Ovis aries: one gene and its partner. The protein of the gene in region 1 interacts with the protein of each later gene in a pairwise test. Links are inferred from orthologs where the notes say so. Each region holds a gene or a part of one and is shown on either strand. Other genes may lie near its edges.

Region 1 (4,308 bases):
AGCCCCCTGCGCCTCGCCAGTGAGCTCTCCGCTGTGCAGACCTGCTTGATGGGGCAGGCGGTGGAAGGCATAGCCAGGAGTGGCGTTCCCTTTGCCGGCCACTTGGCGGCAGTGTTGGCCCAGTACAGGCACTGCTGGCTGGGCAGCTGGGTGCCTGGGGGACTGGTTTGTCCTGGTTTGTCCCCGCTTCAGTGAGCTGCAGATGCACTGCGACAGACTGTCCAGGCAGCTGTTTTCCAGTAGAAAATACATATTTCACATAGTGTATATGATTATAAACTTCTTTCCTAGACTGTAAACTCCTTGAGGTCAGGATGTTATCTTTCTCTTCTTTGTATTCCCTAGAATGATTACAGTCTGATAGGAACTCAAGAAACATTTGTTGAACAGACGGATTTTCCAGAAATTTTTAGGTTTTGGGGGGCGTTGTCTTTATTTTGTTTGCTCTGTTTTACTTTTTGGTCAGAGCGAGTTACAGGAGATTTTGGTGATTTTGTTCTGATCTGTATCTTCCTCCTGGTGATTCTGGACTGTGTGTTTTGCAGAGGCTGAAGGATGAGATAGCAGAAGTAGCTAATGAAATTGAAAGCCTGGGGTCCACAGAAGAGAGGTGAGTCTGTCCTTTTCTGGGTGGTTTTGTGGTTGTGGCATTGCCAAGTGCCAGCCTAGAATTGTGCCCGTGCCACGTGCTTAAGGAGAAAGTGCATCTTCTGCCTTCTTTTCTAAGCAAGCATGTATGTAGCCATACTTTCTGCCTTCCACGCAGGGACTCCTGAATGTGAAGGCTTTTGATGTTTTTGGAAAGGCTGAACTGGAGAACTTGGCAGGTTCCCCCAAAATCTTAAACTGCCTTTAAATTGTTGTGTGAACTATTTCTTCTCTTCTCTTATCCACTGGGTTCCTATTTTAGTGTTTCCATTTTTTGCTTTGGGTAAAGGAAAAGCTTAACGGATGCTGCTGATGCAGCTCCAGAAGGCTGGAGGCCCAGTTGTGTCTAGGCATCACTGCAAGCTTGCTTGTGCCTCCCTAACACTTAAGAGAACGTAGAAGTGAGATTATAGCACAAAGTGCCAAGGCGTGTCTGCTGGTTCTTTTTTTCCTTTAACATTCCTTAAAGCAATGTTAGTTGCTTTGAGAGTTTAATTTTGAATGAGGTTCCCAGACCATTTTCTAACTGCTTAATGTCGTAAATGGGCTGTTTCTAATTCACTGCATGTCTGTATTTTTCTAAGCCTAAGTCTCCCCGTCTAGCTTCAGGAGACCGTTGGATTTTGTTATTTTAAACTTGTGTGCACAGGGCCATGTGGATTAGTGAAGCTGCATGTCCAGCAGAAACCAGCCAGCTCATCCTGTCCAGTCTCTGCTTTGCCAGTTCTGAATTAACAGCTTTCTTACTTGCCACTAAAAAAAAAAAAAATTGCTGCTTCAAAGAAATGGACAAATTGGTATTTGTCAGAATTTACCATTTCTGCTCTTACAAAAGGTACTCTTAAAAGAAGTGAATAGGGACTTCCCTGGTGGTCCAGGGGCTGAGACTCTGCACTCCCAATGCAGTGGGCCTGGGTTTGATCCCTGGTCAGGGAACTAGAGACCCGGGTTCGATCCCTGGGTGGGGAAGATCCTCTGGAGAAGGAAATGGAAACCCACTCCAGTACTCATGCCTGGAAAATTCCATGGATGGAGGAGCCTGGTAGGCTACAGTCCATGGGGTCAGAAAGAGTCGGACATGACTGAGCGACTTCGCCTCACCTCACCTCAGGGAACTAGGTCCCATGTGCCGCAACTGAAGATCCTGTGTGCTGCAACCAAGACTCAGCGCAGCCAAATAAATGTTTCAAAAAGGAAATGAATAGGCAGGCTTCACACAAGGGGAAAAGACCTGCATTACCTGTATTTGAAAAAAGACTTGTATCTGGAATCTGTATAGAAAGAGCACATAAAACTCACTAATAAAAAGACAACTTGACTAAAAAGCAGGCAAAAAACCGCCATGAACGCTTTTACATGTATAATAGACACGTGAAAAATGCTCAATATCATGAGTCATGAGGAGATGCCACTTTACACCCACTAGGATGGCCAGAGTTAAATAGACAGGTGGTGCCTCATGTTGCTGAGAGCTGGTGAGAACAAGCGGTGTAAACACTGGGGAAAACCGACTGGCAGTTCCTCCTAACGTTGACCGTATACCCCTGCTGTGCCCAGCAGTTCAGCTCCCAGGTATTTACTCAGGAGAAAGGAGAACACACCCACACGCATGAGGGCATCTATAGTGTTTTTATTTAAAATAGCCCCAAACTGGAATTAGCATTAATGTCCCCCAACAGATGAATGGATGAACAGATGAATTCATGAGCTATTAACTTACATAGTTAATATGTAACTATGACAGTGCTCTAAAGCTGGATTATGGCGATGGTTGCCCAACTCAGCAGACTTATTAAACATTGTTCAGATGTGCATTCAAAATGGGTATGTTATATGGTATGTAAATTATACCTCAATAAAATTTCAAAAATGACATGGAAAAAAAAAGAAACCCACTGTAGTAGAAGAAACAAAGGAGCCTAGGACCAGGGTCAGGATTTCAGTTGACCTTCCACAGTTAGACCCAAGTGTGCCTGAGCTTTCCTAGATAAATCTCAGACATCACTGCACTCCACTGACACATGTGGGAGTTATGTCAGTCTTTCAGAAATTCCCGATTACCCAGAGTACTGAAGTGGCTGTGATGGTTGTTTTACAGGAAGAACATGCAGAGGAACAAACAGGTAGCCATGGGCAGGAAAAAATTCAACATGGATCCTAAAAAAGTAAGTGACAAAAGCCAGCAGCCAGAGCCTGCAGTCTGTAAAGTGGCAGTTTCCACATCGTCAGCTGCAGCTTGGGGCATTTGAGACAGCCTCCCTTCCTTTCATGGAGTACAGCTCACGCCATGAGCCCTGCCTCCTGCAGAGCATAGGAAGTACTTACTGGGCACTTCCTCTGTGTGCAGAGCAGCTGTACCCAATTCTTCCTGGGCCCCCACCCCCTTTCTGGATGTTCCTGGTGTCTGAAGCACTATTGGTGTCTTCGCTGTCTTTCCAGGGGATCCAGTTCTTAATAGAGAATGATCTGCTGAAGAACACCTGTGAAGACATTGCCCAGTTCTTGTATAAAGGGGAAGGGCTCAACAAAACAGCCATTGGTGACTACCTGGGGGAGAGGTAAGACCTCCGGAGACCCCTGCAGTAGAGAAGGTTGGGCGGCAGTTACCTAGAGAAACAAACTCCAAGATGCCCCGAGCTTTGTCCCGGGACAGGTGGAGGTGTCCAGCAGCTGGTATCCTGTGTTCAGCCAGTACACAGAGGCTGCAGATCTTTCATCTAACATTTGGCTGCCTCCTGGGCTGCGGGGGGTCTCAGTGCTCAGCCTAGGGGCAGCCTGACTGGGGGTCTGCACGACTTTGGATTCTCAGCCTCATTGTCTGACTTCTGTCTTCTGTTTCTCTTGCTAGAGATGAGTTTAACATCCAAGTTCTTCATGCATTTGTGGAGCTGCATGAGTTCACCGATCTCAACCTCGTCCAGGCCCTACGGTGAGTATGTTTGCAGCCAGTACCTTGTTGAGGGAGACGGGTCTTTGGTTGTAGATCTGTCCTGCACAGTTCAGTTCAGTTCAGTCCAGTTGCTTGATTGTGTCCAACTCTTTGCAACCCCATGGGTCCTGCACCACCTGGTGTTTTAGTGAAGTTGTACCTTGGGTGGTGATTTGAGTATATGTGATTGAAATGATTGGATGGTTCAGTTCAGTTCAGTCTCTCAGTCATGTCTGATGCTTTGTGACCCCATGAACCGCAGCATGCCAGGCCTCCCTGTTCATCACCAACTCCCAGAGTTTACCCAAACTCATGTCCATTGAGTTGGTGATACCATCCAACCATCTCATCCTCTGTCATCCCCTTCTCCTCCTGTCTTCAATCTTTCCCAGCATCAGGGTCTTTTCAAATGAGTCAGCTCTTTGCATCAGGTGGCCAAAGTATTGGAGTTTCAGCTTCAACATCAGTCCTTCCAATGAACATCCAGGACTGATCTCCTTAAGATGGACTGGTTGGATCTCCTTGCCATCCAAGGGACTCTCAAGAGTCTTCTCCAACACCACACTTCAAAAGAATCAATTCTTCGGCGCTCAGCTTTCTTTATAGTCCAACTCTCACATCCATACATGACCACTGGAAAAACCATAGCCTTGACTAGACAGACCTTTGTTGACAAAATAATGTCTCTGCTTTTTAATATGCTGCCTAGGTTGGTCATAACTTTCCTTCCA
Region 2 (4,965 bases), on another chromosome or scaffold:
AGAGCACCACAATATGGATTAGAGAATACTTATCAAATTCTTTTGTAATGAAGTTAACAGTTTTCTACTAAAAGTATTCATTAAATGTCAGAATATCTTGTTGTCATCAAGAACACTTAGGAATTTTAGTGACAGATGAGTGTGTGGCCAGAAATAAAATAAAAGCTCCTGAAGGGCAGAACCCAACTCAGAAATACATACTAAGTCAGCACAATATTCTATATCGGACTTATAACTGAAATCACCCTTCCAGAAGTTGTCTATTTAGGAATAATTTGATAACCAAAGAAAACCAAACAAAGAGAAACAGTTTGTGGTCCCACGAATGCATATTCAGTCTTCCCCTCTGTCAGTTTTTCACTATAGCATTCAGTGAAAACTACTTTCCAAGGGTGACCTACTGCCCTTGGGAAAATGGGTGTAAGGCCCATGGCTACTCTTTTAGTATCACAACATTCATCAAGATAACCTTACTTCATACCATCTCCTTCCTACAGCATTTTCCATTGCAGGGATTTTTTTTCCTAAAACTGTGTTCAAAAGTGGGAGACCTCACTGGGTGTATGTCACCTCCTACAAATACAGGTATCAAGATAATATGAACACAGAGAAATCTATTTTTAAATAATGTTGAGTACAAACACCCCAGTGATTCTGAAGATTAATCTGAAACTATGGGCTAACCAGATACAGCTTGGCAGAAACCAAAGCCAGTGATAACAAGAAGTATGAATTGTTGATGTCAGCACTGAAAGGGTTGAAAATAACAGTGGGCAGAAAACACCTGCTTGTGGGATTGCTTCACAGGGATCTCGTTGCCTGCAATTCAGTCAGTGCCAAATGAATAGTTATTCTCTAAAGACCAGTTAAAGGAAATGAACATCCATTTGGAAAATTCTAAACAGTTGGAATAAACTTGCATCAAGTCTCATTGATGATAATTGTACAGAATCAAATATATCATATACAAATGTTTTGTTTTACTTTTTATTTTCTTTAAGTAAATTTCACAACAGTAACAAAAAACTGTCTAAATAGGAGGAGTCTCACCATGGGAAAGAATATGAGGAAAGGGAGAAGAAAGGACCTACAAAAGATGTGAACATATAAGGAAAATAATTGGTGAGAAAGTGTGTGTGTATGTGTACATAGATACACAGATCACACACACACACACACACACACACACACACACACACCTGTGTCTCATATACCTAAATCATTCTCATCTTCTCCCATAGCCTCCCTGATTGCTTCTTTTTAGTTCACGCTTTCTTCACTCAGGCTTAAAATCAAATGTGGCTCCCTCTTCTTCACCGCTTTTCACAGCAAAGTCTTTGTGTCTCTTCTCAATTCCTTCGGTTCCTCTTTCTCCAACTACTGCAAAAATTGCTCCCTCACCACTAGGCTCTACCCATTTACTGACAAGCAAGTTTCCAGAGTAAGGTTCCTGAAACCTTGTATTCAGTCATGATCAGTTCCCTGCGTACTGGTCAGATTACTACTTCCTCAGGGGAAGTGTCCAAGTCTTATGAAAAACAGCCCAGCTCTGAGGTCTCCCCTCCTCTCCCATACAGACACTCATTGGGTCCACCTAACACAGTAATATACGATTACTTAAACTTCCCTAAGGGCCCCAAGATCTGTACCTCAGCATTTTAATTATCCTTTGCTCTGGAATACCCTTCAATATCCAGTATATCTATCCTTGAAGGTTGTATTCAAAGACATGTACTTGGGTTAGAGCACGTATGTTACTTTATATTGTACAACACCTACTTGTTCTGTCTACTCAATCGTAAACCCTGTAAGGCGGGAAATTTTCCTTCTCATCTTTATACACTCTACACTGCTATACACCTGAAAAGTGAATAAAGGTTTTGGTACTTCCCAAAGGGGCTTTATTTTCAGACAGTAACTTGATAGGAATGTTTTTTTTTTATTAAACTTATTGTCATAAAGGCACTTTGGAATTGAAAAAGATCAATCATCCAAACCAGAACAAATTATTCCCTTATCTCTCTTGAAAAATACCAAAGAATCAGCTATGTGCATCACTTAAAAAAGATCATGACTCTTCCACTATGCTATAACTCTGTAATCCTGAAATTAGAAGGCTTAAGAAGAACATACAACGTGCATGCAAGATTTAAGGGCAAAACTTCATGCTTTAAAACAATTCTAAATATTTTTGTATTCAGATGTGTACGTGGAGCATTATAGCAAGCTAGCTAACCAAAATCTAAAGAGATTTTCTAGTTTGATCCTTTTTTACAAGTTGGAAATTGAAAAAAACTCGCAATAAATCCAGTTGGACATGGATTTTCCCAAATGAGTTTTCCTCTCTAGGGAAATACTTTGCAATCACAATTAAAATAATAACATAATTACTGAGTTATTTGGCACATACTACATGTCAGTCATTCTGTTAAACACTGTGCTTTTCTTCACTTACACCGCAGAAGAGCCCTGCAGGATGGTTCTATTACTATCTTCATTTCAGAAAAAAAGCAAACTGAATCTTAGAGAAGAAAATTACTCAAGATTCCACAGCTACCAAGTGGCAGATCTTGCACTCATTTATCCAATAAAAGTCTTAATTCCCAATAGCGTGAGGTACATCCAGTGCCCAGAACTAAAGATAATTTTGTCAATAAAACTTGCACTAAAAAATCATGTATTTTCCCTGGATTATGAATTGACATGACTATTAGAGACTGGGAGAGAGGCTGGGAGGGAAGGACTCAATGGGAGACATACAGGAAAAAAGAACAATAATTCTCAAACTGATTGTGTCTATAATACATACCATCTTCAAGTTGATATGCTTAATGATTTTTAATTCATCAGAATACCTCTTGTAGTGAGAAAATAATCTTTCAAGTTTTTCCTTTCAAATGTTTCCTTATGGTCTTAAATCTTAAGACTTAATGACTGGAGTCTGAGTTCTCTGGGCCCCTTGCCTCTCTCTTCACCCATACTCTGAGCCACTAATTTCAAAGGATCTGAAATAACATTTTTAACATGCAGTCAAACAAACATATCACTCTTCTCTCAAGAGAACAAGAATACTGTAAAAGGTAAAAAATAGCACTCATACCTGCTTTCTTCCCCGAGGCAAAGTAGCCACAGTATCTGCCAGCATTTGAAGCCTTCTCTTGTCATCATCCATAGTAAAACTGCCTGTGAGCGTGGAGTAAGAGCTATGCCCTGGACCAGCACAGTACTCCATGAAATTGCCATTGCTGCTCTGTTTCCTGAGCTTTTGTAAAGACATTGTGAGTAAAGATTACTCCAGCTAGCACATGGTTGAGTGGCCTTGCAGGGTGGGGAAAGCTAAAAGTATAACCCTCTGACAAGCAATCAAAAGTAGCAAAGCAGAAAGAGCCCATGTGACTTCTGTGGTTTGAGGTACTTGTTACACAAACACTATCTTGCAGTTCACTCCCATTCTCGGTACTTTTTTCTTTAAGCCCCTGAGAGAAGGCTAGTTTTCAGCATTAAAATATTTTTCTTTCTCTTCAAACAGCCAGAACTCTTTCATGTGCTATGGCAAGTTGTGTTCAAAACACCATCTACCTTTTTTTGTAAAAGAAAAAGAAAAAGTTCCCCAAATTCTGCCATTAGTTTGACATCCACTCTCCTACTTAATATGGTCCAGTGTAGTGTAAAGGTCAGGATGTGTGGATATTGATTCCTCATGAGTATAAGCAAGACCTACAGGGTCCAGTCATAATGTCCTCTCATGAAGTCCTTGTAATGTACTTTCACCAAAGTACATCTTAGCTGATTGATGTTCATGAAAAAAAACTTATATCTGCCACTTGGGCTGTGACCATTCAGCATTCCTCTGGTTGAACTTCCACTGGTTCATCCTCACTAAAATTATCCATCATGTCTACAAAGAGCAATGGGAGGGGAATCACATTTAGAGCACAAAGTTGGCCATGTCTTAGACTAGACTTAGTTACGACATCATCAAGTGGTCCAAGGGAGGAATGGAGAGGGCATAAAAGTAATAGGCAAAATAAACAGGCACAAGAACATTTCCAGTTGGTTCCTGCCAACGCATATGCACCAAGGGCAACAACATGAATTACTCACTTTCACTGACGCTTTTATTGGTGGAAGTTGGAGAAACGCAGTTTTAAGGAAATTAGTTTCAGAGGAGGAGCAGGAGACATAAATAGGAGAAAGATTCAAAATAAAATCAAAAGGAGAAGTTTGGTATAGTATAAAAAGAGAATTGTCATTTTCAAAATCATTGGGAAGTTCAATAGTAGAATGTTAAAGAGTCAAAAGTCTTTAAAATGGAAGTCAAAGCAAATTCAGCTCAGGCAAAATCTGCCAAATGTAAATCGTAAAATCTTCAGAGTTAATGGTGCTTAAGAGATGGAGTCACCTCAGAAATTTTTAAAATGCTATCACAGCATGACTCATGATGATTGGAACTAGATAACGACATGAACAAACTGATGTCCCCAAAGACCTGAATGAATGAATGAAAGTCATTCAGTTGTGTCCAACTCTTTGCTTCCCATGGACTGTAGCCCGCCAGGCTCTTCTGTCCATGGAGATTTCCCAGGTCAGAATACTCGAGTGGGTAGCCCTTCCATTCTCCAAGGGATCTTCCTAATCCAGGAATCGAACCCAAGTCTCCCACACTGCAGGCAATTCTTTACCATCTGAGACACCAGGGAAGCCCTATAAAGATCTAAATCAGGGATGACAAACACATATGCCTTCAAGGTTCAGTTGGATAAAATAATATAAATGTGTAATACAAAAGGGAGTGGTAGAGACTTTGGCAACTAATGAATATGGTCAATTAAAAAGACATTTATGGGGTGTGTGTGTGTGAGACAGAGAGAGAGATGAGAGAGAGATTGAGTTTTAAAGTATCTCCAGGTTACTATAAGGTACATGAAGTAAATTAACACTATTACTTGAGGACAGCAGTCCACC

The links.
Region 2: the proteins of CYTH1 (region 1) and CYTIP interact in binary tests that used the Homo sapiens proteins (3 or more experiments, as listed by UniProt). The link is inferred for Ovis aries from reciprocal best matches to the Homo sapiens genes CYTH1 and CYTIP.

Annotation. Positions count from the first base shown.
Region 1 is NC_056064.1:52,960,193-52,964,500, forward strand, and holds part of CYTH1 (cytohesin-1), read left to right. Parts: intron 1-545; coding exon 546-610; intron 611-2,746; coding exon 2,747-2,813; intron 2,814-3,087; coding exon 3,088-3,206; intron 3,207-3,496; coding exon 3,497-3,577; intron 3,578-4,308. UniProt on the Homo sapiens protein: Promotes guanine-nucleotide exchange on ARF1, ARF5 and ARF6. Promotes the activation of ARF factors through replacement of GDP with GTP.
Region 2 is NC_056055.1:152,296,936-152,301,900, reverse strand, and holds the start of CYTIP (cytohesin-interacting protein), read right to left. Parts: upstream 3,347-4,965; 5' UTR 3,278-3,346; coding exon 3,101-3,277; exon of another isoform or gene 2,813-3,100; coding exon of another isoform or gene 2,810-2,812; intron 1-2,809. UniProt on the Homo sapiens protein: By its binding to cytohesin-1 (CYTH1), it modifies activation of ARFs by CYTH1 and its precise function may be to sequester CYTH1 in the cytoplasm.